Linked DNA regions of Oreochromis niloticus. The protein of the gene in region 3 purifies or fractionates together with the protein of the main gene of each other region. This does not show direct contact. Links are inferred from orthologs where the notes say so. Each region holds a gene or a part of one and is shown on either strand. Other genes may lie near its edges. The genes, in order: psmd5, ecpas and psmc6.

Evidence for each region.
Region 1: the proteins of psmc6 (region 3) and psmd5 purify together in Homo sapiens (co-immunoprecipitation; 4 studies listed by BioGRID and IntAct, counting the BioPlex papers as one, with this or other methods). This does not show direct contact. The link is inferred for Oreochromis niloticus from reciprocal best matches to the Homo sapiens genes PSMC6 and PSMD5.
Region 2: the proteins of psmc6 (region 3) and ecpas purify together in Homo sapiens (affinity purification with western blotting; 3 studies listed by BioGRID and IntAct, with this or other methods). This does not show direct contact. The link is inferred for Oreochromis niloticus from reciprocal best matches to the Homo sapiens genes PSMC6 and ECPAS.

Annotation. Positions count from the first base shown.
Region 1 is NC_031972.2:16,544,083-16,552,058, reverse strand, and holds the start of psmd5 (26S proteasome non-ATPase regulatory subunit 5), read right to left. Parts: upstream 3,041-7,976; 5' UTR 2,913-3,040; intron 1,683-2,912; 5' UTR 1,626-1,682; coding exon 1,393-1,625; intron 1,011-1,392; coding exon 866-1,010; intron 783-865; coding exon 669-782; intron 586-668; coding exon 457-585; intron 250-456; coding exon 140-249; intron 55-139; coding exon 1-54. UniProt on the Homo sapiens protein: Acts as a chaperone during the assembly of the 26S proteasome, specifically of the base subcomplex of the PA700/19S regulatory complex (RC).
Region 2 is NC_031971.2:23,753,498-23,761,506, reverse strand, and holds the start of ecpas (proteasome adapter and scaffold protein ECM29), read right to left. Parts: upstream 3,052-8,009; 5' UTR 2,821-3,051; coding exon 2,799-2,820; intron 2,588-2,798; exon of another isoform or gene 2,495-2,587; coding exon of another isoform or gene 2,473-2,494; intron 2,386-2,472; exon of another isoform or gene 2,367-2,385; intron 1,741-2,366; coding exon 1,610-1,740; intron 1,337-1,609; coding exon 1,220-1,336; intron 915-1,219; coding exon 796-914; intron 671-795; coding exon 521-670; intron 404-520; coding exon 226-403; intron 1-225. Other genes in the region: kdm4c (lysine-specific demethylase 4C), read left to right, coding at 6,027-6,170, 6,419-6,594, 7,402-7,516. UniProt on the Homo sapiens protein: Adapter/scaffolding protein that binds to the 26S proteasome, motor proteins and other compartment specific proteins. May couple the proteasome to different compartments including endosome, endoplasmic reticulum and centrosome.
Region 3 is NC_031980.2:28,556,821-28,564,423, reverse strand, and holds the start of psmc6 (26S proteasome regulatory subunit 10B), read right to left. Parts: upstream 3,007-7,603; 5' UTR 2,920-3,006; coding exon 2,835-2,919; intron 2,432-2,834; coding exon 2,352-2,431; intron 1,922-2,351; coding exon 1,882-1,921; intron 1,655-1,881; coding exon 1,602-1,654; intron 1,279-1,601; coding exon 1,211-1,278; intron 1-1,210. UniProt on the Homo sapiens protein: Component of the 26S proteasome, a multiprotein complex involved in the ATP-dependent degradation of ubiquitinated proteins.

The DNA.
Region 1 (7,976 bases), on a different chromosome or scaffold from region 3:
TGCCGACCATGCTGACTGTGTGCAAGAGTTGTAACCATCTCTACAGCTGTGACCCTGGTAAAAAACAAATTAACAGCATAAATGAAGAAGAAACACTTATGAAAGAAGGAGAAAAGCAGTCAAACTTAGTTTGTACTACCTGACCAATACGTCGTCTCCTGTTAGTTCGCTGAGCAGCTGAGAAATGAGGCCGCTGTTGGCACAGTAACCGAGAGAAATAGGAGATACAGACGAGATTTCCACCACCAGCTGCAAGCAGAAAGGACAAAAAAACTTCTTAAGATCATTTATATGAAAGTGTCAAACTCTGTACATGACATGTATACAATATATAAAATGACCTAAGTCAGTATGTGTAAGTAATGTCATGCTGTCAACCGATTCCATCTAAGTAAATAGAATTTAAAATCATTACAAGGGATGCTGATGCTATGTTATAACCCAGTTTGAACATACCTCATATATTCTGTATCTAATAATGTCACTTGTGGCCATCACATCCTTCATGACTTGCAGCAGGTCAGTCTGGAATAATTTGTCTAATCCAGGCTTGGAATGACTGAACTTAGACAAGGACTGAATCGCCTGAGATAAAACAAAAGAAAAACAGATACTCCAGGCACTGACACTTTATAAAACGCGAGTAATTATAATGCTTTATTCATCACCTGTTTTGCCACAGCCATCTTTTCCTCTCCGATGCACCGGATCGCTGCTCGGAGGACGTCGTGGTTGTTGAGAATTTCAGTAACAGCATCAGGGTCCTCCACCACTCTCCCAATCTGACACAAGTAGGTGGGATTAACTAATATTTTCAGTGTTTTATAAGATACTTTCTGTGCATGTATGTGTGCGAGCAGCCTACCTGTGCCAAGGCCAGTATCTTAACAGTGTCATTTGGGTGAGTCAACCCCCGCTGCAGCTCCGCTCTGTAGTTCTGGACCACATGCACAGGGCTCATGGCCATTAAGATGCGTTCAAGGATGTCTACGCATAGCTCCACCTGTGCCCTGTGAGTATTTATTTATTTAACAATCAATATAGCTCCTTCTTATTTTTTTATTTTAACTATGGTTAGTCTGTACAGTGTTAGAAAATACCATTCACAGCTGTCAGTGTGGAAATATTTGATGTACCAAAGCACTTTTAAGGCCAGGTTGGTGTTTTAAATGTCAAACAGTGTCCTGCTGGGGCTGTGTTGTTAGTAGCACTGTAACCAGTTGCTAACAATTAGCTCAGTTTCAAGCAGCCCTTTTAAGCTAACTAATAAACTCTTCTTGTACGTTAACTTAGTGTCAATATAGCTAACTGTTAGCAATACATATATTATACCCACTGACTGACTCAGCACTTATTCACCAACGTTTAGCTGATGCACAAAGCCAAACCCACCTGTCACTGGAGTTGAGCAGAGAGAATATGACATCTAAACGCTGTCCTCTCACTGAGTCCTTCAAGGCACTGACAGGAATCGCCAACAGAGCAGTTTTTAAACTCTGAAGTTCTTCAACTGGGTCTTCAACCCCAGCGATTTCCTCCAGTAAGCTGTCAATGGAAGCAGCCATATCGTGCAGTGTTTGGGAGACTTCAGCCAAACGTATCCGCCAAACTGATTTCTTCTTCATCCGGTTCCGGATACGGTGGCTATCTAACAATATGGCACATTACCGCCACCTGCTGGACTGAGAAGGATGCTCCACTTATTTCGGATCCCCAAAGTCCTTGTTTTTTTCTTTTCTTTTCTTTTCTTCTTTTTATTTCTTGCCAAATTCTAGCCAATAACCAAATTATCTAATAGTTATATATGTTTACTTGTTGTACGTCAGTATGGTTTGGTACTTTTACACTATTCAAGAGTAATTTCAACATTTCTGACCAATGTTATATAATTTTTTTAATCAAAAATTTCCCCCCGTTTTTCATTAAGCCATTAACATCCTACTAGTTTAAAGAATGAGAAGTCACTTTCCCAGTCTGTCGAAAACTGCTCTGCTGACACACAGTTCATAGCAGTTCAAAGACTTAAATGTGCTCCCTGCAACTTGGCCAAGTTCCACTGTGTTTGACTGTCTTTCTGCATCAGGTAAAAACTCAGACAATAAAGACTTTATATGTCATGGCATTTGACCGATCATAGGGACACAGCAGTGGCGTACATGTTGGTCGGTCCTCAGGTTTAATCTGGCTCAACAGCCTTCATTTCTGCTCTACGTGATCCCTGCCCTATCACCTCCTCCCTCTCCATGTGTCCCCCTTGATTTAAACAACTTGCAAAGTGTAACTTCAATAATAAAATTGCGCTGTATTATAACTTTCAGGTTAACACCAACAACTGACATGATTACTGGTAATGAAAAGATCCTGCATCTAATAGTGTTGGGTTTTCTTTTTCTTTCTTTTTTGGGGGGGTGGGTGCATTTCTTTTTGTTTTTATTGTTGTTTTTCTGAAGCATTTTATTAAAAAAATATTTTAGTACTATTCAATTGTCCATAGTCATCTATAGAACCTTCCGAGTTTAAGACAATGCTTAAGTTTATGATAATATACATTTATTTGTTATTGTTAATTTGTTGCTAAGACCTCATATGCCTGTAGACCCTAAACTCCTAACTAGTAAAGTATGCAAAGAATTTTTCTTCTTCTACTCTGACAAAAGCAAACAATTAGAGGAGCAGCCAGTGTCTCCAAATGTGAGTCTGTAATGTGAGTCTGTAATTGTGATCATGGCACAATATGAGCATTTAGGATCCGCAACTAGTGCTGAGTAGGTACTAGAGAAAGGGGGCTAGAAATGGCAGATGTAAAGTTAAAGAGCGATGTTGCCCAGTGTAAAGCATGTGTGAGAGGGCAGCACTCTGGTTACTCAATAACTGTAGATAGGTGATTCAGTAATTTTTCCCTTAAGGCTTACCTGGTCCAGCTGCTCATTTAACACTTTTTGTTCTTGTAAAACCAGTTTATACGAATTTAGATTTTCCCAGACGCTCACTTCCGGTCGTGTTCTGCTAACTGCGGCCACCTTGACGCATCTTCCTGCAGGCAGAAACAGCCTGTGTGTTTGGTGTACACTGTCTTGCTGCCGTTACCGTCACTCCCAAAACTCTCCCCTCTTCCTAAACAACCAAATCCCACATGTTGACTTTTTTTTAAATTGGTCGACATGGTGCATTTTTCCACCGATAGGAAAGAGGTGGCTTTTTTCCCCCTTTCTTTACTGTTTTCGCGCTGTCCTTAGAAAACGCTTAAAATACACACACACAAAAACGTGACGACAGTATTTAGTAAAAAGCATGGCTTATATATATATTATCATAACTCTGGATTTACTGGCCGGTAATTAAAATTTAAAAACTTTGAAGTCCGAACTTTCAATGTGGGCTGAAACAGAGACTCAGCGTGGCTGCAGCTTGTTGCTAATTACGCTGGAAATGACAGGAACACACTGGACCTAACAGACTAATTATCCCTCTGTCTAAAAACTGAGATGAGAGATGAAACTCTTGTATTAGTAGTAGATTAACTCCCGCATTATTCCGAAAGAGGACCGAAACCCCGGGCGGGCAGTGTTTGTGGCTGAGCTGAATTCAGCTGGAAGCAGGCGACCCCTGGTGGCAGCCGGAGGAAGGGCCTCAAAGTGAACTCCATCGTTACACAGTTCCCTCTGTGCCCAATTCGCTGTAATAGAAATAATAGTGAAGTCATTATTTTAGTGAAAGAGCTCCCGCCATACTCCAGGACCATGCATTTGTATATATCATCATCTAACCCGCACAGATTGAGGCCTGCAGAGAAGCTACCTGGTAGGCCTGTTTGCACACAGCTCAAATCACACAAATAAATAAATTAAAATTGCAACTGCTGGCTTTTTTCTGACAGTGACAAATCAAATGTTTTGTTCATTCTGTTTGCACACTTTTGCACCTTTATTAGAAAATCAGTGGAGTAACTGTGGCACTTAAACTACAAGGAGTAGGGAAAGGAGATATCCAGAAGAGACAGACACTGATATAAACTGCTAAGTTTTATGGTTTAAGAGACATCGTCAGTTTAGAAGTGAGTGATAACTCAGTGCAAAACTAGCTGCATTTACAGAAATACAGCAGCCATTATGGGTGATGTGCAGAGCTGTAGAAACTACAGAAGGCATGATGCTGATGAAGTTATGGGAACTTAAGGTAACACGACAGGTGATAATCAGTGACCAATAGTATGTCTTCGTTTCATGATAAAGGCACTACACACATGATGTTTGCTTTAAGAGTATTAATGCAGAAGTACAGAGAAGGTCAGGAGGAGTTGCGCTCTGTCTTAGTGGATCTAGAGAAATCATGTGATAGGGTCCCAAGAGTGGATCTGTGGTGCTGTATGAAGAAGTCAAGTGTGACAAGGAAGAACAGTATGTGAGGATGGTGCAGTACATGTTTGAGGGCAGTGAAACACCAATGAGGTGTAGAAGTGACAGATGTGACAGCCCCTTCTTGTGATGGTGATAGTCAATGTAGCTACTGAGGTCATACAGGAGTCGCTGATGTTTGCAGACAACATTGTGATCTGTTGTAAGAGTGGGGAGTAGGTGGAAGAGAGACTGGAGAGGTGGTGGCATGCTCTGGAGGGAAGAGGAAGCAACCCAAAATAGATGTGTTTGAATGAGTGTGACAGGCTGAAAGATGAAGAAGCAGACGCAGTGAATGTAGATGAGTTTAAATGCCTGGGGTGAACAATTTAAATCAATGGACAATGCAAAAGAGGCAATGTGGAGTAGGTGACAAAGAGTGTCGGGGGTGATTTGTGACAGAAGGATATCAGCAAGTGTGAAAGGGAAGGTTTACAAGATGGTAGTGAGAGCAGCTAGGAGGCGGAGCTGAGTGACCAGAATGGTCAGGATGAGAAACTCAAACATTCATTCAAACATATTAACTAACAGGTCGAGCAGTTAGTTAATAAAAGTTAATCAAGAGGCGATGCAGAGATGATGTTGAATATGGACTTTCCAGGCAGGAGGAAAACTGGAAGACTGCTAAGAAGATTCATGGACGTAGTGTGACAGAGAGGACACTAAGGATAGGGTGAGATGAGGTAGATGATCCGCTCTGGTGAGCAGCCGAAGAAGAAGATCTAATTGGGTTCAGTAATAAAATATTTTCACTAATGACGGCTTTTGTGGTCCAGGTGACAAGTTGAGTTGTTGTAGCGAAAGTGCACCATTGTTAGTAATGACAACATTTCCACAAATAATTCTTTACAGCAGTTAATCATATTTTTAATCACATTTTTTTCATTGGTAATAAGAAAAAAAAGGGAAGGGGATATTCGTGTGTGTTTGTTTGTTCTATCTAAATTTTTTCCTAATAAAGTCAGCCATCGTTATTTTGCCAGCTTTACAGTTATTCCCATGCTCTCTCCAGATAGGCATGTCTACTATTTTTGACGAAATGGGATGCTGCCCAAACCCAAAAGCCACATATTTCCACCATCTCCAGCTGAATTGATCACTTGAAGTCGTGCTTGGAGGGGACATGTCACAGTAGTGTCAGAAAGAGGATAAGAGGATAAATGAATGGAAATACAACTAATTATTGTTTAAAACAGGAGGTTTGGTTTGGCACAGGGCGCAGGCTCCGTGGTGGGCTGAGATCTGATGCTCTAACAAATACCTGCAGAGTTGCATCACATAAAAAAGTTCTGTTTTAGGCCAGCGAGTGTTCTTCTGCTTGATAGATGGAATCCTTGTTGTGTTGTCTGCACAGTATCCAAATGTCAGCATGCACTTTGCTTTTCCGGATCAAAGAAAGAGGCAGAGCAACCAACGAATTAAACCAGAACATGGACCGAAATGCTTGGAGAGGTGTCAGAAAGAGTTTCAGGCAGGTTTACTTGTCCACTGACAGACCTGGCTTTATAATTACATGAAAATATAGTTCATAGTTATTAAAAATAGAAATAAGCTATTATTGATATAAAAAGAAAAAATAGAATACCAGCCAGTACAGGTTGGTTGGTGTTTTTGATTTTGATTTTCATTCAAAAAAACAGAACATTAATCAGAAATACTCCATATATAAAAATAATTATTGGATTTATTAACCAATAAATCCAATAATTATAAAATACCTACGTAGTTCTGCAGAACCACATTCTCATCAACCATGTCTGCTGTGTTCTACATTGTGTTCACTAATGCAACTTTATCATGTAAAACTGCTAACTGACTGTTGCTATCCATTCATCTAGTTATGGTAATAAATGAAAACTGGCATTTATTTCTCACTGAAATTGTCAGAAATTTGATTTTTCCATATAAGCAGGTGTGTCCTGCTCCCTTCAAAGGACAGTGCAAAATGGGAGGCTCTGATGAAAAACTGAGCGAGAGGACAAGTATGTTAGTCTTCAATCTGAGACACGGGCGTCACACAGGTCTTCAGCTTGGCAGTTTCTTCAAACAGAACATCAGTCTCAACATCAGCAGTGAAGAGGAGACTTCAGCATGCTGGACTTAGAGACAGAGATGCAAAGAAAATCAATATTAGAGACAGACAATTAAAAAAAAAAGAAGACTTGAGAAAGGAATGTTTGGGAGACTGAACAGATAAATCCAGCAGGTACTGGAACATTTGTGAGACAAATGAAATGATGCGGGAGGAAAGGCCGACCCCGTCTGTCTGGCCTGAAGGAGAAATGTGACAATCTGGGATGCTTTGATGGTGGCAAAGTGGGACATTTGTACAGGATAAAAAAGATCTTGGACAGGGGCACCTATCATTTTATTTTGCAGTGCTATTCCAGAGTGTTGGGAAACAACTTTATAGGCGCAAATTTCCTCTTACAATGCTCAGAAGCACAACTCCAAACTATTCAAGAACTATTCAGAGAATAAACTGGGACTCTGTTTCTAATGGAGAGGCCAGCAAAGGGCACCACAAACCTGCTGTGAGGCCAGTATGGCCATAAAAACAGCCCCTCAGACAAGATGTCTCCAGATTATTTCAGCAAACTGACTGAACTACAGTGCCAAAGGTCTGCAAGTTTGGGTCTCGTGCAAGAAAGTCTGAGAATGTATTTTTTCACAAATACAAATTAAGTTAAACTGTCCTTTGACGTTACTAGCACTTCTGCGAAAATGCCATATACCATAAAGTGGCTCACAATATTGTATTCCCTAATACTCTATAGACAAGAAACACAAACTAAAAATGAAACTACATCTACTATGATGTTTGTTAACACAACTCTAAAGAAGAAAGACATCAGCGATGACCCTGGTGGAGCAAATGCTGCTACACATCAATCTGGGGAGAGTTATAAGGCCATCCATCCATCCATTCGCTTCCGCTTATCCTTTTTAGGGTCGCGGGGCGCGCTGGAGCCTATCCCAGCTGTCATAGGGCGAGAGGCGGGGTACACCCTGGACAGGTCGCCAGTCTGACGCAGGGCTAACACACAGGGACGGACTACCATTCACACTCACATTCACTCCTAGTGGCAATTTGGATTATCCAATTAACCTAACCCCACAAGCTGCATGTCTTTGGATGGTGGGAGGAAGCCGGAGTACCCGGAGGGAACCCAGAGCAAACTCCACACAGAAAGATCCCGGCCTGATGGTGGAATTGAACTCAGGACCTTCTTGCTGTGCGGCAACAGTGCTATAAGGCCATTCCAAAAATCTCCAAAGTCCATCATTCTACAGTAAGAGAAATTATTCACGAGTGGAAAACATTCAAGGTAGAAGCCAGTCTTCACATTAGATTATTCACCCTGCGGTTGGTAGTTACACAAGCCAACTGTTAAGCACGGTGGTGGAGGAGTGATGATGGGTTTGTTTTGCACAGGATCTGTGCTCCTTTCAGTCACTGGCTTCTCCATGAACTCCTCTTGATACCAAAGTACTCTAGAGTCAATGCAATGACCCAGACAAAGTTCAGACCTCAACCTGATGGGAAACCTTTGGTGCAACCGTAAGAGAGAGATGTGCATA
Region 2 (8,009 bases), on a different chromosome or scaffold from region 3:
TAGTTGGTAAACAACTGAACTTTCAAAACATTGGCAAGGGGGACCAAATCTACCAAATCAACAGGGCATTGAGCTATCCACGCAGACAGACAAAAACAAGTCACCAAACATACTTGGATGGGCATAAATATACTTGGTCGGCCTGCCCAAACACTGAGCATATTATCTTTCCAAACAGATAAACATATAAAGCCAGTACTCATCCTCCCAGTTCAGTTTGTATACCTGCTCCAGCTGTTCAGCATTCCACTGAGCTTCTCCAATCACCCTCTTGGCAGCATAAACACTCATCCCCGGAGGAGGCTGAGGGAGACCCTGACTACTCGCAGCCACTGTCCCATCTCCAGAAGTACCCTGGGAGGAGGAGGGAGCGGGGCGAGTTGGAGATTCATTCAGCACAAAGCTAGGAGGAGAAGGACACTACAGGTCAGCAATTTGTGGTAAAAATACTTCTCAAAAGCAAATAATTTCACCAGAGGTAGGTCTGCAACCCTTATTCGCTTATGAATCATCAACTCACCCATAAGGCATCAGTAAAACATCTAACATGAACTCCAACAGCAGGTGCATTGTCTTTGGCCGCTCAGTTAGGTTAAACAGAGAAGCACTCTTGGAGGTGTCAGTAGGATACTTTATGTGGTAAAGAGTAGGGATCAGCAGGTGCATCAGACTAAGAGAGAAAATAGAGTATGGACAAGTCATTTTAAATTAAGAATAATAAGCTGATATCTCAAGATTGCTTAACACACGTTACACAACCACATCCAAAATGCGTGTTTGGATGCATCCCCTCACCTGTCCTGCTGTGGCTGTGGTTTTCCTTCCATGGCAGTGATGAGGGTCGGGGCTAGCTCACACTGTTTTACCACCTCCAGACGAGGGTAGCCCATTTTAATGTAGATGATGGTGAAATTCTGTGTATAAATGTGACCATCAAAACTCTGCTCTCAATAATAGGCCAATTTTTAAAAACCCAAGTCAATCTAGGATCACTAACTAGATTAAAAAAACCACATAAACGTCAACTCAATCATGTGTATTAAATGGTGTGTTTTTTAAAAAAAAACAAAGGGACAAAAACACTGATCTGATTAAATCCCATGTGGTAACTGTGTGATACCTTACCAACGCTGTTCATTAGCCCATAAGGCAATCACGCCCACAAGGCAAACACGACATCCTCCACTACATGGCAAACATCCTAATATGAGATTCTTACCGTAACGAAAGAGGCAGCTGCAGGGTCTTGGTACTGCACAAGCAAAGTTTCTACTGGAAGTTGAATCTTAGGCCGGCTTTTTATCCTCTTATTCAGGTGGACCAACAACTCCATTACCTAGCAGAGAAGGTGCAGTTTCCACATTTTATTACGTAGTTAAATTAGACAGATGCATAAACAAAGTGAAAGGGAACTAAGCTCCTTGAAGAACCTTTGCATCTAGAGAACTGAGTCTATATCTCTGCTACACCTTCAAATAATTTTTTTCTGGGCTGAACTTTGAAGTAATGATACTGCTAATGATACTGCTGATACTTTATAAACACATCTCCCTTGTAATGCAGTCATTATAATCTCTTAAGTAACAGAGACAGGCTACACCCTTCTTACTTTCTTCCGCACCCCCTCTTGAACGCTGGAAAGCTTGAGGAGAACAGGGGGTAGGAACTTGGAGATAATGTCCTGCAGCTGTTCATCTGTCTCTGCATGGCCCAGGCGAAGGAACACACGTTCCAGTTGATCTGTCAAAAACACATATAATACCCTTGTTAACACATTTTCCAGGCGGCATTTGTCACACGCTAATTATTGGCCCCATCATGGCTAATTTCGCAATATCTTTCTATTCAAGTATCTCACAATACACCCCAAAGAGGTGTCTGTAACACAGAGACTACGACCTTCAGTTTAATATAGAGGGAGAGCAACATGCATGCTTAAAACGGTCTTACGGGCATGTTGCTGCAGTTCTGCTGATAAGTTCGTCCTGTCAGCTGCTGTGCTGGTGCGACCATCACCCAGCCCTGCCTTCCTTCTCCTGGCATGGCTCACCAAGCACCCAGCTAGCTACAACAACTGACAAGACTATTCACGCATTTGATCGTTTCTGTATTATTCAACTAGCTTTTCACTTAAGGTCACATCCTGCAGGTCAAATCCCCAATACCCCGAATATCCTAGCAGTTACTGCGCACTTTCAAAGTTTCATAAAATTATATATATTAATAGCCTACGTGATAGTTTCATTTTGACCATGACTGGGCAAACGGCCTCCTGACGATAGCATTCTGGTTAGCTTAGTAGCTAGCTATCGCACCTACCCCTGGTTTTTAACTAAAAGAAGCTTTAGCGTTACACAAAAAAGCACCTCAACTGTCAGGGCGGATCAGGCATTTTCCTGGATACGTTTTTAGAAACCACGAGTGCGACATTTGACAAAATATGAATCGCCAATAACCCAAAAAGAAACTTACTGAGTTCATCCTGGGCAGCCATGTTTGCAGAAAGTCAATCAGCGACCCCCCAGTTTAGAGAGTGTTACTGCGTCCACCGGCGCCACTCCTAAGCTACTGCTTCATCACCCCAGACACCAAAAACGATTAAATGACACACAAGAAATCACAAGGAAGTTTTGTACATTTAAGAGAGCCTACATGCTCTTATTCTACAGGCTCTCACGACAAATACAACGAGATAGATCGCCCTATCACTGGCATCCTTTTCTGTCACACCAATCGTCTGCATGTCCCCTTCATTACATCCATGAATCTTCTCTGTGGTCTTCCTCTTTTCCTCCTACCTGGCACCTTGTTATCCAGCATCCTTTGTCAAATATATCCTTCCTCTGCACATGTCCTCTCTGACTTTGTCTCCAAACTGCTCAACTTGAGTTGTCCTTCTGATCTACTCACTTCCATTGAAATTCTTAACCTCTTTAGCTCCACCCGTCTCTTTTTTTGTCAGCACCATCATCTCCAAACCATACATCATAGCATGTCTCACATTTCCCATTTATTCTTGCTGCTATTGTTCTTTCACAGCTCACCCCTGACACAAATACACTCTCTCTCGTACACTATCCATGGTTTTGGCTGGTATTTAAACTTATCCAACAGGAGTCCATGGAAACTCCATGGAGACATGCCTGACCTCATCAGTCAACCTATCCATTGCTACTACAACCCAGAAGAAGCTTGTAAGACCCTATACTCCCGATTTAATCCCAGCCCCACCATGAACCTATCTGTCACTGCTACTGCACACCTCACCACTCTCTCACTTTTCTCATACATGTCCAACACACTACTTCATTTCACTTCACTACAAATACACTGGGCTTCTTTAAGTTTCCAGTCCACTTGCTTTTCTTTACAAGCTCCTTACATTACCATGACCTGGATGACTGAGAACCTTCACAGACACCTTCTTTTCATAGCTGTCCTCACTTCCTCCTTACTAATCCTCTGCACTTAATGATTCACCAACTTTCCTCCTCTCTCTCTCGTTTTCTTCATCCATCAGCTCCTCAAAGTACTCCTTCCATCTTCCTAGCACACTCATTAGCAGCTCTGTCCTAAATCACTCTAACCAGCTGCACATCCTTTCCAGGTCAAAATCTTTGCCAGTCAACCAGTACAAGTTATCTATTCTTTAGTGTCCAGCCTTGCATACAACTCACTATAAGCTGTGTCCTTTGCTTTTGTTCCAGTACTGCTGTCCCCCCTCTTTCTTCGTCATCCTCTTCCTTCAAATGAGTTCTTGTACCCTTTCCTTCCACCACCAAAGTCTCATTGTCTACTCTCCTCAGTCCAGGGGATACACGAAATAACTTCTTTGTACAATTATTCACAAATTACTAATTCAGTACTAATTCTGGAGCATTAAATCCCAACCTAACAAACCTCTCACAACCAGGCAACCCAAAAGTTATTTTCATCAGATGCCAAAAAGGCAGCCTAGGCTAAGTTAAGCTACTATTAAAAAATCCTTTGGGATTTAATTTAAGCTTAATTGTTTTAGCTCTTGATATTACAAATTGCACAATTAACTCCAGATTTTTTTTAAAATTTATTTATAGATTTAAAAACAAAAATAACTTTCTCCTCTGGGTCTCAAGGTGCAGCTATAGAAATGACAAAATATTAGACCAGCACTTTTTTTACTTTTTAGCGCTGGGGATGCACGTGCACTTACTACCTACGTCTGTGGCTGCGTTCCAGTTCACGGGCTCGCCTCCCGATCCGCAGATCTCACAGCGCCTGGATAGGTTACTGCACCACGGCCGTGCCTGTGGAGGCGGTGTGGGACACCGCCGTGCTGCACGGCACGAATCAGCAGCAGCTGTCATGTGAATCAGCTGTACGAACAAGGAAGGGGATAAACAACAACACGACCCGAGTCTTTCTAAATCAAGGTAAAATAAAATAAAATAAAACTCTGTACACTTTAATGCGGACATGATGTGAAATACCGGCGAAAATTGTGCAGAGGAAGCTAGCTTTGCGCCAGTTTGTGTGAAAGCAGGGTGCATTTCGTGACTCCTGTGCAGAATTAGCCGAGCTATCAACAGCTAAGCGTTAGCACTGCCACAAACATAAGTTGGCACGCTCTCATGCCACTGGACATCTCGCGCTGTATGCTTTGGCTTTGTTTGTTGGTCTGTTGCTAAACTTGCATAAGAAATAACAGTAGAGAAGTGCTAGATGAAATGTTCTGCACTACATAAAGTGGCGAAGGGGGTAGCTACAGGCCTGTGTGCAGCCTTCTTGTGAGGGGCATTTAAATCCCATTGACTCGTGCAGTAAGAAGTTAGCTAACGCGATAGGTGGCTTAACTTAACAGTTAGAAATGCTTTGCCCTCTCTAACTGTTAGCACCAAATACTGTTGAGCCGCAATGCCCCACGAACACACATTAAATTAAAGCCGGTGGGTATCATTTAAATATAAGCGAGCTAGTCAGCCGAGCTAGCAAGCTGCGCTGTTTGTTCAGCCATTATTTGGCATCCTAACAAAACGTAGGCTAGCTGGCTAGTTAGCTTGTTGGCAGACAACAAAGATCAGCAAAGCCAGAGGCGTTCAGGCAGTGTTATTAATGCGTACATACAATTCTGCTGTGATTTAATGGAGATATTTATTTATCCCAATATATATATTATGCCAGACGGAGGTTATGCAGGGTTTTAAAACGATTGTTTTAACACTCTGACAAAGAGTAAGGATGTAAACATTGTGCTTAAGGATTTTTAATCTCTCAACCCAGAAAACTTGTTCCAGCCTGTGATTGCCTATTACATAATTAGGTCGCATGCCACTAATTGGGTCTCATGTAATGTAGATTGCAGTGAAGTAGCCTTATAAAGAAATATAAGGCCAAACAAACACAACAGCTTCACCCGTTGATCCTTTGTCTGGATACACAGGAACCTCAGAGTTGGGAGTGGGATGGGTGGATGGGACAAAAATCTGAAAAGGGTTGTTGGCATGAGCAAGGATCAATAGATCATATCCACATTTGTCGAATCTCTATCTCCATCTAGTGGCGAACCTGTCAGTTACACGCAAGTCAGTTACCCAATGGGTTAAAACTGCTAATGAGCACAAGATCTCCAAGTAATGCGATTTGTATTTTTTGCAGTCGTCAGAAAAACTGAAGAATTTCTAACACTATAACTATAATGAAGCTATTTGAAATTATATATCATTGTGATGAGTGTGGAAAAAGTGAAATGGGAGGTGAACAGTTGTTAAATGGCATTTTGTATTGTATTTTGTATTTGTAACAAGAGTTGGTGCTGGGGGGTGCAAAACCATCTGTCCCCTTGTTGCTCTACTCCTGAAATTCATTCTAAATAACTAATACCCTGCATTTTTACTAACCATAGACAGTATAGGGGTAAAGTATTTTGACAGATACAGATACTTTTTATGTGAATTTTAAAATTCATACAAAATTCACATTAATGTTGGAACATCATCAATATTTTCTGTTTTTCTTTCTCCTCAGGTTTTACCTGGTAAGGTGGCAGGATGGCGGGAGCAGAGGTGCATACCGCTGCAAACCCCACCTGCAAGATTATGACCTTCAGGCCCACTATGGAAGAGTTCAAGGACTTCAACAAGTATCTGGTTTACATGGAGTCTCAGGGTGCACATCGGGCAGGCCTGGCTAAGGTAAGTAGTGAGTTGAATCAGACCTTGGACAGCTATTTTTTTAAACTTATCATATAGTTACTATATCTTAGTGAGTGGGTTTACATTTTATACATAGTTTGAACCGAAGATGGATTTAGTCAATCAAAAGAAGGAAAAGGAGAATGATGTATAGTGTGACATATGTAAATGCACAAGGAACTGACTTTTTGTTTTGGACAGATACATTTCCTACATCGTTGTTTTTGATTCCTCTGTTTATCCTTCAGGTAATTCCTCCTAAAGGCTGGAAGCCCCGTCGCACCTATGATGACATAGATGATTTGGTCATCGATGCTCCAATTCAGCAGATGGTAGCCGGCCAATCAGGGCTCTTCATTCAATACAACATCCAGAAAAAACCTCTGACAGTGCAGGAGTTCAGACGATTGGCCAACAGTGACATGTGAGTTTTAGCTAGCTGGTTTACATGCTTCGTTAACTCTAATAATCAGGAGCAAGAGTTCTTAAATTCACACAAATGTTTCATTTTGATGTTGTCACAGCAAAAAACCAAATTTCTTCAGAGTTTATGACTATTTACAAACCTTTGTAAAAGGCCTGTAAGGTTTTGTATACTTATACTAATAAAGAGAAATTGACCACAAGCTGGCAAAAACAGTATTAAACATGACCATTAACAAAATAGAATAAAGGAGAATAACTCAAATATGATCGAATGAAATGAAATGAATGAAAGCGTAATAAGGTTAAAATTACATAAAAAGGAGGTCAAGTAAACGGAAAGAGCAGTAAATATACATGAATCAAACAAAGAAGCTCAATATGTTAAAAAAATACACACATACCATAGAAAGCAATGTAAAAAGCTTAATATACAAAAAGCCGGTCAATAATTAAAAATCAAAAATACAATAAAAGTGAATTTTAAAAAAAGGTAAATGTTTAAATGAAAGACTATGTTAAAAACTGAATAGAGAAGTAAGTACGATGTAAAGAAGCTCACAATCAGTAAAGTAAAATAAAAATAGGTTACTAAATCTAGCAAAAAAAACACAAGCATAGCAAATATTATTAAAACAAAGTCCACGTACCCAAGTGTAAAGTGTGGTTAAGAGTAGAAATAAGTTGCTTTGGTGTTGGTCTCATTGGCTCTGATTCTGCGTCTCCGGTTTAGACCACAGCAAAGTACTTGTACAACTTCAAGGATCGCTGTCTAATGTCAAATGAAATTTCTTTCTTTTTCTCACAGGTACTGTACGCCTCGCTACCTGAATTATGAAGACCTTGAGAGGAAGTATTGGAAGAACCTCACTTTTGTTTCACCCATATATGGTGCTGATGTCAGTGGCAGCCTCTACGATGAGGTAGATGGATCTTTCATCTCTCTGTTTTTGCTCTTTTTTTTTTTTTCATGCATGTTGATGCTAAAGCCAACCTTTCTAGTTTAGCTTTCTCTTATTACATTCCCTGCTCAGTTTTTACAATTCGTTTTATCATTAGCAAAATAATAGCAAAATTAAATTGACTGATGATCAGGTTCATGGCCTGTTCCTTTGTTATTTCATGACGAATGAAGCAGATAATATTTGGACTTAATGAGTGTGGAACATGTATTCAGTGCCTTGTGAAACAAGTGTCAAAGTCTACCTTCATGAATGGAAGTACAGAGAGTTACAACAAGGTGCAAATCACTGGTTACACTCAAAAACAAGAAGTCTGGATTAAACTTTGACAGAAAACATCTAAAATAGCCAGAACAGTCCTGGAAAAATCATTTGGACACATGAAACCAAGATTAACTTTTACCACAATGATGGGTAGAGAAGAGTATTGAGAAAGGAAGAAACAGATTCTGGC
Region 3 (7,603 bases):
CACGGGCGATGGCAGTGAAGGTGATGCACCATATGCACTTTGTGCCAATCCTCAGTAAAAAGAGACTGAACCAGAAGCTGCTTGTGTACTTACTTACAGCATCTCAGTGTGGTACAGTGGAAGCAGCAGAGCGTCATAAACACAGCACAGAGGATCGTCAGATGCTCTCTGCCTCCCCTTCCTGGAGGAGATCGCCAATTCCAGATGCAGAAGAGCAAAAATCATCCTGAAAGACTCCTCCCACCCAGCTCCTATCTGTTCAGCTTAATGCCTTCAGTCAAGCCCTACAGGTCGATGAAAGCCCGCACAACTAGTATGAAAATTATTTATTTTATATTGATGTTTAAAGGGAGCTGCAACTGTGATTTCATGTCATATAATGCCAATAAAGCAAACCCATATGGAGTTTCCCCACTGCAGCAGACTTATTAATTCAGAGATGTAAAAGTAAACAAACCTGTGTGCTGTGATAAATCTATTGTTTATTAATCAGTGCTGAGGGCCGTACTACAAAGCAGGAGAGCACTTTGTTGAAATTTCAGTCATAGCTTTCCTGTGTCATCAAAGCAGCTCTCTTTTTTCCTGGCTGAATTACCATGGTAGCTTATTCTGAATAACAACCTGATAAAAGATGCTGTGTTCTGAGTTTGGGTTTTTGGGAAGCTCCACATTTCCTGGGATCTGCTCGAGCCACTCGCCAGGTTTGGGGGTCACTAGCTTGAGTGCTCCGATAACCACGTGCTCTAGGACCACTGTTGCCTTCACCCTCCACATCTTATTGAGCACCTCTCTCAGCCCTTAGTACTTCTTGAGCTTTTTGTGTTCCTTCTTCCTGAGGTTGTTATCACTACAGCCACCTTCCTCTGCTTGTCCACTACTATGGTAATGGTAATACTGTTGGTTAGCCACCACCAGCCATCACCATCCACTGGGTCGTATTCCGTTTTGACCTCTGGACTTCCAGGTCACACTCGGGACAGATGTTTCTGTATACTATGCCAGCCACTTGGTTATGGTGTTCCAATGTTTGCCCTGCCTGCTAGCATCTTGCACCCTGCTGTTATGTGCTGGATCTCACTGCTTCTTTACACAGCCTGCACCTGGGGTCTTACCTGGTGTGTTAGACCCCAGCCTCTATAAACCTTTTTCTTAGTGCTGTGAGACACGATCCTGGTGAACCAATTCAAAGTAGTCATCATATCCACCTTACCTCATGATAGTAAGCGTAGTCATGTCCAGAGCCACTCTGGTCCCTGGCTTCAGCTGGGATTTGTCCAACTGGAATGAAAAAGATTAGAGTTTACATTTTATACAGTCAAGTCAGCATTTTTTGAGAAAGTTTCATTCTAAAAATGACATAACTCAGTGCTGAATAATGGAGTACTTCCAGCTGATTTACAACATTGTGCACAAAGAAACAGACATACATTGGTACAGAGTCTTTTGTAAACCTATTTTTATTTCCTCATCATTGTCAAATGATGAAAATCAAATGATTTATCACTCAAAGCTCTCAGATGTGATTACAGAGGGCTTCCAAACCCCAAAGAAAATTCTGCATTACAAGACAGCACAAACACTAGAATGTGATCAACCCTTACCTGCCTGCGACATCCAACCACATATCGGGGTCCATTGGTAGCCTTTACAATGACTGTAATTAAGGAGCAAAGAACAGATGACTTCAGTCAACAAACAAACAAACCACACACCTGAGTTTAACACCGTAACACAAGTCACAGATTCACATTTGCTATTTCCATTGATTACCAGGCTTCAACACAGGTGTTGCATAATGAGCCTGACAGTAGAAGACTAAAGAGATGTATAAAATTATTCAGCCTTTTCTACCTTTGCTATATATGGGAATGTATGACTTACATTTCTCCTCAGTGAGTTGTTTGAGCACTTCTCCAACAATCTGCAGGGAAGACACATAGTTAGCTAATAAAGAATACATCAGGTCGCTTCTGTTTGTGTTGACATTAGCTTTGTGTACTACAGCCTCACTATTAGTTCTTTAACTGGGACACAAAGGAGAAAAGGAGAAAAGAAAAATCACTTTTTTGACATTGTCTGCTGTTACAGTTTCTCACCTATAGCAGCTTAGTCAGCTGAAAGTGTTCAGCGCTGTAGAGCATTGGTGGAAACTGCTTGTTTCTAGCTGTTGACTTACAACAGCCAGAAATATTGCACACCTAATTACACTAACTGGCTTCAGATTTCTGTCATCAGATAACAAGTGAATGGTCTTCTGTTTGCATTGATTGAGTGTGAATGCACTGATGTACAACGTTAACCTTCAGTCTTTAGTTGAAGCCAAATGATTAATTTCCGCACGGTATATTTACCTGACCGACGCTTTGGAGAGCCTTGAGATCATTCTCTGATTTCTCGTACTGTTTGGTCTGTTCTCGCAGCTGCTCTCTCACTGGAAAACAACGGACAGCCAACATGTTTCATACACACACTAAGAGCTAACTGGAACATTTTGTTACAGCTAATGCTCGCATCAACGTGAAATCAGAAGTTAGCTTTACTTATAGCTCTTGATAACGTTAATAAATAATGACATCACATTCTTAGATTAACTGGCCTTAAAATATGAATTATCCAATGAACGGACGAACTGTATCACTGTCGTGTTTATACACCTAAGCTGGTAGCGAGAGCCGGTAGCCTCCATACATTTCCACCGAGAAGCTAACTGCATGACAAAGCACTAGCTAGCTGGTATGCTAATCAATGCTGGCTGTCCATCTACAAGTAAACAGTCAACTAAACAACACAAATTTCTAGCACGCCGCAAATATTAGTGTTAAATAATCCCTTACATTCTTTTAGTCGCCCATCAACTTCTTTGTGTTCCAGCAATTTTTTCCTGTAGTCCTGCAGCGCTTTTTCTCTAGTGTCCGCCATGACGCCCCGCTGAATGATGGGAAAATGCGGTGTCGCTCCACTGTTGGTGCGTTCGCTTACCTCAGTCGGATGCCGAAATTTCGCGCTCCGTGATGTTGCTGTTCGCTGGGATTGATATTTACACACACACACACACACACACACACACACACACACACGATTCGATTCAATCCTGTTTTATTTATATGGCCCCAAATCCCATCAACAGTTGCCTCAAGTTGCTCGCGATTCTGGATTTAACAAGAGAAGCCAATATATGCTCTATTTCCAGCTCCTGTCAGTGCTCTCTCTATAGCACACACAAACACAACACAATAAGACTGTTAGTTTGTGTTTTTCCATATTTTTTGTCTTTCACGAGTGTCTTGTTTATTAGTGTTCCTCTCATATCTATCCCCCTATCATTTTTTCTTTTTTTATCCTGCCTGTTAGCTCTAGCATTGCTGTATTACAAATGTATTTTTATGTACTGTAAACAATAAATAAAATGAATGAATGAATAAAAGATAAAAGCTCAACTTGGAATAAGTTTGGCACAACGGTGCATTCAGATCATATCCTGATTTTAAACCATAGGTTGAAAGAGATTGAAGTACCCCTGACTCACCTGTCATAATATCTGAGAGAGGGTAAAATAACTCAACATCCAGCCCTTTTATGTTTGTTGTGATGCAACGTGCTAAAACAGAGTTTATTCATACATGCTTTTGTTAATAATAAATTATATTTATCCTTAATCAAAGATATAGTGAAAGTATAATTCCACTTGATATGATGAATGAGGAAAACAGTTTGAGTAATGAAAATGTCTGTTGTAATGTCTGGATTTTGCATGTAGATGTGATTCAGCTTTGACTTTGGTAAATGGACTGATTCTTATATAGCGCTTTTCTACTCTCCCTCAGTCAAAGCGCTTTATATAATATGTCACATTCACCCATGTCACTTTCTTCTATGCTTTAAGTACTTTCTATCTAAGCACACATGCATCAGAGAGCAACTTTGGGTTAATATGTTGCCCAAGGATACTTGGCATGCAGACTGGGGCAGCCAGGGATCAAACCACCAACCTTCCGATTAGCAGGTGACTTGCAGCAAAGCAGATTATTGCTTGTGTGTGGCTGCAGGAATGTGAAAAGATAAAAAATGTATCTCCAGCCCATCCTCATACATGATTCTAAATCAGAGAAGCACTATTATGTATGTAGTCATTGTTAAGCACTGAATCATTATTTATATGTGATTTTGCTGATAGTTAATCATGCTTAATTGATTAATACTGATCATAACAGGTATAAGTTTAATCGATATATTTTTCTGCTGCCTGTCAGTTTAGACATACAACACATATAATGTAATAAATGAAATAACACTAATAGAAATGAATAAATAAACAAGAGGAGCCTATAGAGAATTTACAGAGCTCATCTTAGAAAAAGATGAATGTGTTTGGTACAACAGTGCATTGAGATTATAATTGTGATTGCCAAAAAAGGTCAAAATTTAATATGACCACCTTCAACACAACCTGAACTGTCTAAGGCAGAGGTCCCAAAGTGGGGGGCCGGGCGCCCCCTGGAGGCAAGGGGTATGAATAAAAAAAATTAAAATAAAGAACGCTTGGACACTGCTAGCATAATGCACAGGTTTTTGACGGGCTCCCACATAAACGCAAAGCAGAAGATGAAGCATCGCCAAGTATGTTGAGAAAATATGATGAAGCATATCTTGCCTTTGGCTTCACCTGTACAATGGCCAAGGTAGGTCTCCCCGACAGAATTAGTTTCCCCTGCGTCGGGAGCACGCGCTGGGCTGTCCAAATCATGGACAAACAGTATCCCACATTCTTGATTTTTAGTTCACAAACACTTCTTATAATGAATAACTACTCCTGACATTTTGGAGATGTTGGCTCTTTATACAGTAAAGTTACAGTGGGATACAAATAATATCAGGCTGATCCTGCCACAATTTGTTCCCCCTGTCCAAATCACAGACAAACAGTATCCCACAGTTGTTTATGTTTTTGAACCCATTTTTCACAGAGAGGCATTTTATGACAAATGTATTGATAGCAATGTTGAATATTATTACACGGGGGAAAAAAACAACTGCATGTAAAATAATTACACCCTGACGCCTCTGCTTTTCTAAATGGAGGGACAGTAACTGCGTCTGTATTTGTAAGCGTGTAAAAACTGCAGATAATAAGATTAACAGTAACAGTATTTTGTCTCTATCCGCCATTGTAGAAATTTATCTCATGTAAACAATAACGTGGCGTACAGCGTGACGTGAAAAAAGGCACATACTTTGACGTTGCGTGACGAACTCCGTGTTCCTCGTCCACACCACGTAAACGCAAAAACTGAGTGATTCGAAACGCAGTTTACGTGTTGACAGAAGGTCCAAGCGCACAGAAAAAGCTGCGTTTTCAAAAATACATGTGTAGGTGTGGACGTAGCATAAAAGAGTTAGTAGTTCATTTTATTGCTAAAATGTGCGAAGATTTTCTTGTGAAGCAAAGGGAGGCCTAGCAAAAAAAAAGTTTGGGAATCACTGGTCTAAGGCAAGGTTTCTTGTAATTTCCTTAAGCAGTCAGGAATCGTTGTCCGGGGTTCCTGATGTATGATCCCACACTGTTTCAGTAATACTGATGGCCAACCCATGCCTCATAGTCTTGTATTTGTTTTTTTCTATCCACGTATGCTTTTACTGCATTGCCAGTGTCTTTGACATTGTTGTTATTGCGGAAATTAAAGCCAATCAAATGTTTTCCAGATGGTATTTCATGGTCCACCGTCTTCCTCCATACAAACTGATAATATTTAAAATTTTCACTCCAGTTGTTATGTAATTTTGCATATATTGGCCTTCTCTCGCCGTTTCCCTTTCTAAATGATTTTTTCCTTACAGCCCCTTCCACTGAGACCATTTCTCAATAGGCCTAAGCAAACAGTAGATGAATCAACTAGAGGGACCAGTGCATCTCTTAGGTCCTAAATCAAATCTTTGCTGGAATTTTTTCCCCATTTCTTAGGGATATGACTTTCAGATACTGTTCATCTTCTCTGGATAGTCTTTTAGGCCTGACACTCTTGTGTCGTTTACTTGTCCAGTTTCCTAAAAATTTCAAGAACATAATGCAAACTATGCTGAGATAAGTTTTCAGCTAATAGCTCACTGGGATTCACAGTGTTGGTGCAAAAATACTATACTTATCAGACTTTGTTATCGTTGGTATGGAGTCCATCATATTATCCCCAGTCACTCAGACTAGCATAGCATGTAATTTTCATTATCTTATGATTTACAGTTTAATCCAGCGCAGGTATAACAAGTTTTAAACTGTAGATCTGTTCAGAATTTAAGTCTTTGAATGATCCAGAAACAGATAGAGTCAGATCAGGAGAACCCAGCAGCAGATTCACCTCTGAGGGAGTAAATGAACACATCAGCAAGAGGCCAGCATTAAAACTTCTGAAACTATGTTGTTTCTATATTTTCCAAAGATTTAGAGAAGAGTTTGTGGGATTCAGTGGAAGAAATCTGTGCTGTTGGTCAAGCTGGCCCATAAGAGGAAGCACCCATGGCAGAAGAAGAAAAGCCAAATTAGACAAAATGTACTTCTGCAAACAGTATGACTGTAATTTAAACCTAAATTGTTAGCATTTTCAAGATTCCTCATGAGTAAAACTGTGAGGATGTGCTCAGTCATCGTGACACTTACACATATAGAAGTATAACATTGTCATTTTGTGAAAAGGCATCAATTTTTTGTTTAACTCTGTAAACCATGACTCACTACACTACTTAGATTACTTTTTGTCAGTTTACTTCAAAGACTGGTAGTTCACTGGCTGTAGTTTGTTTTGTTCACAAGGTGCAAAAGGTTGCATCATCTAAATGCATGTAATGATTTACAGGGATAAAACAAGTGGACTCAAGCAGTAGAGCCAGATAGCGAATGAGGCATGAAACAATAGTTACAAAGCTTTATTCAGTCAAGAGAAATATATGAGCAGGATTAACCTGGGCAAGAGGCTGAGCTTGCTGGGGAAATGGGAACAGTCAGTGAGGAACCGTGCAAGATCTAAGCGAGTGAGGAGTTAGATCAGGTGATGATTCCAGAAATGAAGTAAACTATATTGTCCACAAGTGAGTAACATTAGAGTCTTTGCCTTACGTGGAATCCATGTTTCCAGGCACAAAGAGGCATGGATCAGAGCCAGCAGAGGGTGTTCAGGCCGGTAAGTGTGGATCAACTCTGCCCGAGAGGTAATAAGAAAAGGAGTCCACCACCCACCAGCCAGGCACTCCTTCTCCACTGTACTGTACCTGGCCTCTCACTTGGACAGTTTCTGGCTGATGCAAATGACTGTGTGGTCAATCCCACTTATTTGCTGGGACAAAACGGCGCCCACTCCTGTGTTCAAGTGTCAGTCTGCAGGAAGAAAGGGAGGGAAAAGTTAGTAGTGTGGAGCAGGGGTTCCCAACAAAAAACCTTCTTCAGCTGCATGAACTCGGCCTGGCACTGCTCTGTCCACTGGACCAGTTCTGGGGCACTGTGTTGGGTAAGGTTGGTCAAGGGGCTGGTCAGCTCAGTGAAACGGGGACGTGAACTGGCAATATTAACCAGCCAGCCCCAAGAACCGCCACTTTTTTGGTCATATGCCATTTGACT